2 linked regions of the Schizosaccharomyces pombe genome follow. Changing the gene in region 2 together with the main gene of any one other region gives a genetic interaction. Each region holds a gene or a part of one and is shown on either strand. Other genes may lie near its edges.

Region 1 (4,395 bases), 4.6 Mb from region 2:
CTGTCTGTGTTTATATGGATATGCTAACATTGTTTGGCTTCCCGTTTCTTTAGCAACTCCTCCGTTTGGATTGCTATCTACTTTGGCCTCCCATATTGTCAAATATGTACTTACAGGGATTGGTTTGTTAATTTCCATTGTGTTTTTAACTAGAAATTTATATCCTATCTGTCAGCAAGCCGGATCAAATTTGTGCAAACTTTTATTGTTCGGAATTATCGTCTTTCACTGTTTGCTCGCTTTGTCTCTTCAACTCATATTCTTCAGTTAATATCCTAATTTGTGAGGAGTTTCTTTTATCAGTCGCATTGCTTCATTCGAAAATTATACTATTCCCCTTCTTTCATTCTTTAGAAAAGTCATTCAGCATTTAAGATCCTATTGAGTCTAAGTGTTGGTATACTCTATATGATTCAGTTTATACATATATTCGCTTTACATTTGATTTTCTACTCTTTTTACTATAGCTACTAATGTTCCCTCAATTTACTAGGTTTTTTTTTCAGGTGCAAAATACGTATAAATAATCATTTCTTATGCATTGATGAATCATGCCTTAGTAAAAATAATTGTAGCCTTTTTAGTGAACCAAAGACTTTATGACATTTAGTCATATTTTTGCAATCGATCTCCCGTCATTTATATAGAAAACTTAACACATTATTACTCGTTGTTCAACAAAAAAGAGCTGAAGGTAAATTAATGGTGAAGCTTAACCTGAAAAGTACTTTTACGATTTCAAATTCAGATTTTTTTCAACAAGAGAAAAAAACTTTGTGAGATATTGAAAAAACGTTGAAATTTACGATGCATCACCACAATTTCAAGATTAAAAAGGAACACGTAAAAAGAGAAAAAGAAAAATACTGTGGATAGCAAAGTACATATGTATCGATTCACGGCATACATGAAGGGAGATAAACAAAGCACCCTTTTATCATTAGTCCTAAAAACTTTATTTCTGTCATTAATGGTTAAAATGGTGTGTGTATATAAGAATACAATCTGAAAGAAGAAGGTAAGAAAACTCTTATTCCCGGAAGTTCAATAAAAAAGGAACTATGTTCAGTCTATCCGTAGATCATAAAAACAAACCAAACTCCACATAAGGACATTAGAGCTTAGAGAAAACAAAAAGCTATTGAAACATTAGTAAACAAAAAGTTGATAAGCAAACGTACATTATTAGTAGCGGCGATGGCAACTGAGTCTTCAAAGGGATGCCAACTGGCATGTAATATCTTCTTATTGTAATCCAGGTTATCAGGATCAAGGCCAACAGAAGCAGATCCCATCGCAGCTTGAGGTTGTGACCGCCAATCATTATTTTTCACAGCATTCAACTTTGGAACGTTATTTGCAGCAGATTTTCTGGCTCTAAATGCAGCCTTGTCGGCTTGCAAAACTATCTGTCCTCTATCGCCAGGCAAAGAACTATCTGTGGGGTAAATCCCAAAGTTGTTGCTATAACTTCCTGATAAAACGTGTTTGTCGTCACCAGAAAAGGTACACTCGAATTTATCAAAAATACAGTCATTTTCATAGAGATCGCATAACTTTGATCGCAAAACATCATGCAATGGAATAGTTTTAACGGGAGCTTTTTCCATGTTGACATCCCATATCTTAAGAGTTAAATAATCTCTTGAAAGAATATAGCGGCCATTTTGTGAGAACTTAACGTCTGAAATGCTAGAGATGATTTCAGAAAAGAAACTCTTGGAATCTTGATCTTCTTGATCCTCGAAAAGCTTACATGGATTATCGCAGAGCGCAGATTGACGCAAATCTAAGAGTTTGATATTTCCCTTGCTGCTACTATACATGAGATGATTGCAGTTTATCGGGTGAAACTCGGCACTAGTAATAACTTCCGTAAGTTCTTCCATATTTTCAGGTTTAATGTCAACTATGTTGAATGAATGATCGGAGATGGACAAGTTCCATAAGTTGATACGTAAATCATCAGCGGAAATGTAAGTTTCTGCATCAGAGTTAACGCTAATCGAATTAATATGATATGCGTGTGCATTAGCGTAAACACGTCGTGGATATGCAGCGATAATCATGTCATGATGGTTGAGTCGTGGGAGTCGAAGTTGCGAAGGTGTTGTCAAAGGTCCTTGCATAGGACTGTGGAAACTGTCCGACAAATTATTTTCGGCAACGACTTTCAAATTCTTTTCATATAGTTTCCACAATTTTATAGTTTTATCATTCGTTGAGAGTAAAAAATGCGCTCGATTAGTCCTCTTGCACCAGCGAATTTTATTGATCTTTTCTTCGATTTCTAAGGACTTGAGATAATCAAACTCGGGTTCATGACTTTGAAATTCAGTAAAAAACTTATACTCACAACCCTTTTTCGAATGATTTCGCTCAAAAAGAACGACTCTGCCACCTTTATCGCCGGTTGCTAGATAATCACCTGTGTGGTCGAATTCTACTGCTGAAATGATATCGGCTAAACTTGTTAGTCATTTATTCAGTGATTAAAGTAAAAGAGAACTCTTTTATGAGAGAACTACTCAAAACCAATACCTTCAGTGATGTCTTCCACATCACCCTTGTCACCAAAGCATCTAAAGAGTTAGTCATTAATTTTTTTCACACATCGTTTACATACTGGGCAAATTTCCACTGATCCAAAGAGTCTTCTATATCATCCATCTTCTACTCGTATTATATTAAGATTTCGTTCCCGTTGGTACACTTTGCCAATTTCAATTGTATACGAAGATCTTGATCTTCAAATTTCTAAGGGTATCTCTATACCGTCTTTGGATCTTTTTTCAAAAGTTTTGATACAAAGTTTCCCAGTTTTCACTGGCTTTTTTGGAGGGCTGCTGATTTTCCTAACTTGATGGTTCGTATCAAATGCTGCTACCCTAACGAATCTACACCACTCTTCGGCGAGTCAAAAGCTCAGTAAAATTTTTATCGGTAAATCAAGCCTTAAGCGACTTTAAGTTATTAATGGATTTTTGATAAATACAACACTATTTCATTACTTCAGTGTTCATCTTACGCTTTACTACACATAGGATTTTTTGCTCAACTTTACAAAGTCCAGTGTAAAACTTGTTGGCAATTTCCCATTAATGAAACCTTAATCATTTGTACGCTAAAGAAAGGTGTTTTTGATTATAAAAAACTAGAAGTTCATTGTCATATAAAAGATCCATATTGTTTTTATAGTTTGCAAAATTGAATACAGCAGATAAGTAAATTACAAAAAAATAAGAAACATAACTGGAAAGTAGCAAATATTTTACGAATAACGTATGAATGATTAAATGAATAAACCGTCCTTGATACATTACGATGGCGCTCTACGTAAGCGTTTTACATACTGGTAAACGATACTTAAGTTCCTAAATTTTCTTTTCCTTCTATGTTGCAAAAAACATATGTAAAAGGGAGACTTATTATTTAAAACTTATTTTTCGGTTTCTAAATACTTCTATTATCCCGATTATGTGTCGATTTGGTTCGCCGCAACCAAGACAAACCCAACGTCGATAATTAATTTTATTCCATAAAAAAAAATCTCAATAATCAATGTACGGCATCACTAATTGCATATACTCCATTGATAACTTGATTTCATTACCTAATATACAGTGACACATTAAAAAACGCATCCTTTACCAGTCTTTCCGCTTTTGAGGAGGATGCGGAGGTTCAGAGTGTTTAGGACTAGAACATGTTAGTAATAGAAAGAGAAAGTCAACACTATAATTCTTCAAAAAACTTACTGAGCATCTGGGCAATTAGGGCCTAGCGGACAAAACCCAGCTAAATATTTTGGGCAAGGCCTTGGTTTTCGTACATGTTTGCCTCGACATATAGGTCCTAAAGGACAAAATCCCATATTATACCAGGCACAGACACCAACTTGTTTACTGGGATCCAAATGGAGATATAAACACTCTTCGCCATTAGAACACCAGCCGCGCTCTGCATAAAAGTGACATGGAGGCATCTTTTTTAAATTGTACTCGTGTAAAAAATCACACTGTTCACCTTTTTTACAAAGTCCACGAAGCCTTATATAATATTAGTTATCATGAAGGTAGAAACAAAAACAAATAGAAAAATACATGAAATATATATTCATATTACTCTTCTTTATATATACATACCAATGCTTGCAAACCACGCTACCCATTTTCGATCCAGAATCGCGTCCATTTCCAGAGTTTAGCAAGGCAGACCTTCCGAAATTAAAATTTTGCTTTAAATAGTTATCAAAACGAAATTGAACTGAAGAAAAATCAGCTGCTATAGCTTTATCTTTGATATAATCAGTCATTTTGTAGTAACCAGTAGATGGCGGAGGCAACGTTGTTCAGTTGACTTGAATATCACAAATACTTTATTGACTGGCATTCA
Region 2 (4,121 bases):
AAATAACGATTGCAGGAATTACCAACCGAACAGAATTCAGGTTGTAAGTATATTAAAGTAATGCAGTCAAATTGAGGAACGTAGAGAGAGAGACACACACACACATCCAAAGCAATGGGTTTTCGAAAAGATACGGTAAATATTAATGAGCAGAAAAAAATGATAAAATATTAAATGTAGAAATTCGGCTTAAAAAATCGATAAAAGTGTTGTGTAAAAAAATTATACGAGCCGAAGAGCAGTAAAACTACCGCGTATAAATTGTTGAAAGAGCAATAATCAGTGAACTAAAAAGTCAATCCTCCTTGTAGAATATGTGGAATTGACAAAAAGAAAATTTATAGGTTTGCGGTGTGCAAAGGATAAACAACTAATTGTGGTCTAACCCCGTAGTATAGTATGAAGTGGGGTACTAGTTTTAAGGATTTTCAGTGCAATGAGGAATTTCTCACTAAATAGCAAAATCATAGATATGGGTTTTCAGGTATTTTTGATTTACATTCTTTTACTTTAATTTAATAAAATCTTTTTATCACAGAATAAAGGTTGGACTAATATTCACAAAAGACAAAACATCTGTCTAGTACTTTTTCCGAAATATTATTGCAAAATAGATTTATTAAAAAGAGAAAACGAAAGAAATTTACAATAAAACCAAAAGCTTCTTAAGATGCAGAAGTATAAAAAGGTTGTAATGGCCAGTTTCACCTTTACTTGCTATCCACCAATGCGAAACTGTTCTCACAATTATTGAAATTATCCTAAGCGAAATTTTGACACTTTGGATAACAAAATAGATACTTCCCATTCCATTAATGGATTAAATAGCCAAAAAGAGAAACTCAGTGTAATAATAGTTGGAGTTGGGACATTAAATAATGCACATGATCGTTTAGCCCTGGTAGCATGGACGCATCGAAATCTAATGAAGAATCCCCTTCCAACTTAACTTTATATTTTGATAAAATGTTTTGCGCGTCCTCATCCTTTAAATCAGAATAATTTGCAGGATCCGCTAACCGTAGAATAGCCTTAGCCTCTCCTAAAATCTCTGAGTCCTTGTCGTAAATATCTTTGGAATTTGCCTTTTCGTAAAGATCTTTTAAGTCTATTTGTGTTTTTAGTTAGCAGCGGTTAAAACTAAAGCATTACAACACATGAATGTCTTACCTTTGATGGATCTCGTAAATTCCTTCACCTCAAAAAGCTGTTCTCGAACGGTGTGTCCTGCACTGTTTACCGTTTCGGGAATTATCAATGGACTATCGAATTTCACATTAAAGTCCTGCTCCCAATCTGAATCCGCATCGTCCGCAAATAAATCGCAACGAGATGAAAATCGAATATCCGATGAATCGTTATTTATATGAGTCGTTTGCGTATTGTCTTGAATGATAGGTTCCGACACTTTCGACGACTCTGGCGAAGTAGTCGATAACTCGTCCCAGCAAATACCATCCGAACTCTCATCTTCTTGCGTAGTCGCACCCAAAGAAGTTTCTTGGATTTGCTTAGCTAATTCATTTATCCGAAAGGAATCTGTCTCATTATCATCATGAAGCTCACCTTCAATAAATCCATTAACTGAAGGTAGTTCAGCACCTACACCACTAGCCTTGCTCCCTTTATTGGCCGAATTAAATTCATTACTTAACGCAGTTTTTTTACAGTTGCCTTTGTTTATCTCATTCGCCGTAAAGTGAGACAACGACGTACTGTCTGCACCTGAAGCGTTGCGTTGTACAGTACTTTTTGACTCAACTCCTATGAATGAAAAAATTCGTTTAGAAAATTTTCGGGAGTAACTTCTTAAGCTTTCAAATGCTGAGGGTTTCCTCCATGAGCCTTGATCTATGCATTCGGAGGTGTTAACTTCTTTCGGTAATCCAAGCTGTTTAGGGCGCCTCGGTGTAATATCTGAACCATAACTTTTCATGCCTTTCACATGCCTTCGTTGTAGAGTCACACCTTCAAAAGAATGACCCCTATTCTCTTCGAAAGTATCTGGAACCTCTGCCATATTGACAGAAGAATAGAAATATTCACTTAAATTTTGTTGACTGCCGTATACAACTCCCATTGACGAAATACTCGTAAATCTATATTTCTCTTAAGCTAAATTAAAGAAAGAATTATTGCCGTAGAGAAAAGACTGTACGCGTCAACCCATTCAAGTGTGTAAATAATGGTAGAAGGCACTTTCGTCAAGACCACGCTTTTGTTAGTAAACAAACGGTCGTCATGAGAACGACATAACGAATTTTGAACATGAATCTGTAAATGATTTATAAGGAAATACAAAGTTCTATAACATCAAAGAACGCAATTCGTTATGTTGTTTAAGCGCTATATAATTCTGATAAATACTTTATAACGCGTTAATCGTGGTTACGTTAAATAGGGCTTTGTAAAGATGGAATGCTAGCAGAGATAGACTAGGAAATGGAAAAGACTGTCTATTACAAGTTTTATTCATTAAAAATGTTCAACTTAAAATAAATAAGTTAGCCAAAAACTGAAAAGATGAATGACTCTACAAAGATTCAAAGCCACTGCTCGTTCATGAGCACAATGTTAGCATCAAAAGTTGCTATACGCCTTTCAACTTTCTTTACTTGCTTACGATAAACTCTTCAACTAACTCTGTTGATGCAGGGAAAACATTGTTTTCTTCTTTTCTTTCATTACATTGACTTAAAAGTCAAACTCTTTAAAACTAGTCAAATAATGTTTGCAGTTTAAAGCTACGTTTTTGAGAGCGTAAAGTGATGCAACCTTTAATCTCACAGTTAATATAAACATAGCGAATATAATAGGTTAATGGATCAATGATTAATAATAACTTTTACCTAGCAGAATTGTTTATTACTACAGACCATTTAACTTTTAGCAAAAGGAACTTCCTAATTCCTTACAAAAGTACGACTGGACAGTTACGGTTAACACAAATACGTTAGCTCTGAGCAAAAAAATTAATTCCACAAAGGTATACGCAGTAAATAAAAGTTCAATCCAAAATACAGATTGACATCCTCTATTCACTCATTTAGTTTTACCAAAAAACAAAAAAACGACAAACCTTCTAACCAAACTACAACACATTTATAAAAGTAATCACAGAACAGCTACACGAGGCTCAAAAGAAGAGTAAATATATGTAAATCAACCAAATCCAGCCTTTTATTTTGTGACCTAATGAATAAACAGCGTAGCCGAAAAAAAAAATCCTTTCTCAGCAAACACTAACACGACTCACAAAAAACCATATGGTGAGCAGCTATCAACCGGCACAGATAAAAGAAGCATTAAAAACATGGGCAAAGAAAAGCAGATAAATTAAGTTGCGGGAGGTTTGCCGGGTTGCGAGAAGAGCAATCACGGAGCGTTCCATATCTAGAACAAAGAGAAGAAAGGACTTTTGTATTTTTTAAATCAAGTCAGCAATGTTCATAGGCATTTCCTCAATGTGTGTATTGTAGAATTGTTCAATCTCACGCATCATGCGAACATCGTCGTTGGTAACAAAGTTAATGGAAACACCCTTACGACCGAAACGACCACCACGACCAATACGGTGAATGTAGTTTTCTCTGTTAGCAGGTAAGTCATAGTTGATAACCAAGGAGACTTGTTGGACATCGATACCACGAGCAAGAAGATCGGTGGTGATAAGAATACGAGAAGAACCAGTACGGAACTCATGCATCAAAGTATCACGTTGAGCTTGGTCCATATCACCGTGCATGGAGGAGACGGTAAAATCACGCTCAGTGAGCTGCTCGGTAAGCCAATCGACCTTTCTACGGGTATTACAGAAAATAACGGCTTGAGTAACAGTGACGGTTTCATAAAGATCGCAAAGAGTGTCAAGCTTCCACTCTTCCTTTTCAACGGCAACATAGAATTGCTTGATACCTTCCAAGGTAAGCTCATCTTTCTTAACAAGGATACGAATGGGATCACGCATAAATTTGGTGGTGACTTCCAAAACATCTTGAGGCATGGTGGCAGAAAGAAGAACAACTTGAGCAGTAGGAGGCAAAAGTTGGAAAATGTCGTAAATTTGGTCCTTGAAACCACGGGACAACATTTCATCAGCCTCATCAAGAACAAACATTTGG

What was found. A genetic interaction does not mean that the proteins touch.
Region 1: of etd1 (region 2) and pab1, changing one suppresses a phenotype caused by changing the other (phenotypic suppression), as found in Schizosaccharomyces pombe (3 studies listed by BioGRID, with this or other methods).

Annotation. Positions count from the first base shown.
Region 1 is NC_003424.3:507,022-511,416, forward strand, and holds pab1 (serine/threonine protein phosphatase PP2A regulatory subunit B-55 Pab1), read right to left. Parts: upstream 2,873-4,395; 5' UTR 2,671-2,872; coding exon 2,627-2,670; intron 2,583-2,626; coding exon 2,542-2,582; intron 2,465-2,541; coding exon 1,182-2,464; intron 1,160-1,181; exon of another isoform or gene 1,139-1,159; coding exon 1,115-1,138; 3' UTR 501-1,114; downstream 1-500. Other genes in the region: yip5 (Rab GTPase-binding protein), read left to right, coding at 1-271; cleavage and polyadenylation specificity factor complex subunit Yth1, read right to left, coding at 3,648-3,699, 3,759-4,049, 4,146-4,315. UniProt on the Schizosaccharomyces pombe protein: Phosphatase 2A affects a variety of biological processes in the cell such as transcription, cell cycle progression and cellular morphogenesis, and provides an initial identification of critical substrates for this phosphatase.
Region 2 is NC_003424.3:5,086,048-5,090,168, reverse strand, and holds etd1 (Spg1-binding protein Etd1), read right to left. Parts: upstream 2,191-4,121; 5' UTR 2,081-2,190; coding exon 1,171-2,080; exon of another isoform or gene 1,109-1,170; coding exon 843-1,108; 3' UTR 531-842; downstream 1-530. Other genes in the region: translation initiation factor eIF4A Tif1, read right to left, coding at 3,428-4,121. UniProt on the Schizosaccharomyces pombe protein: Involved in septation.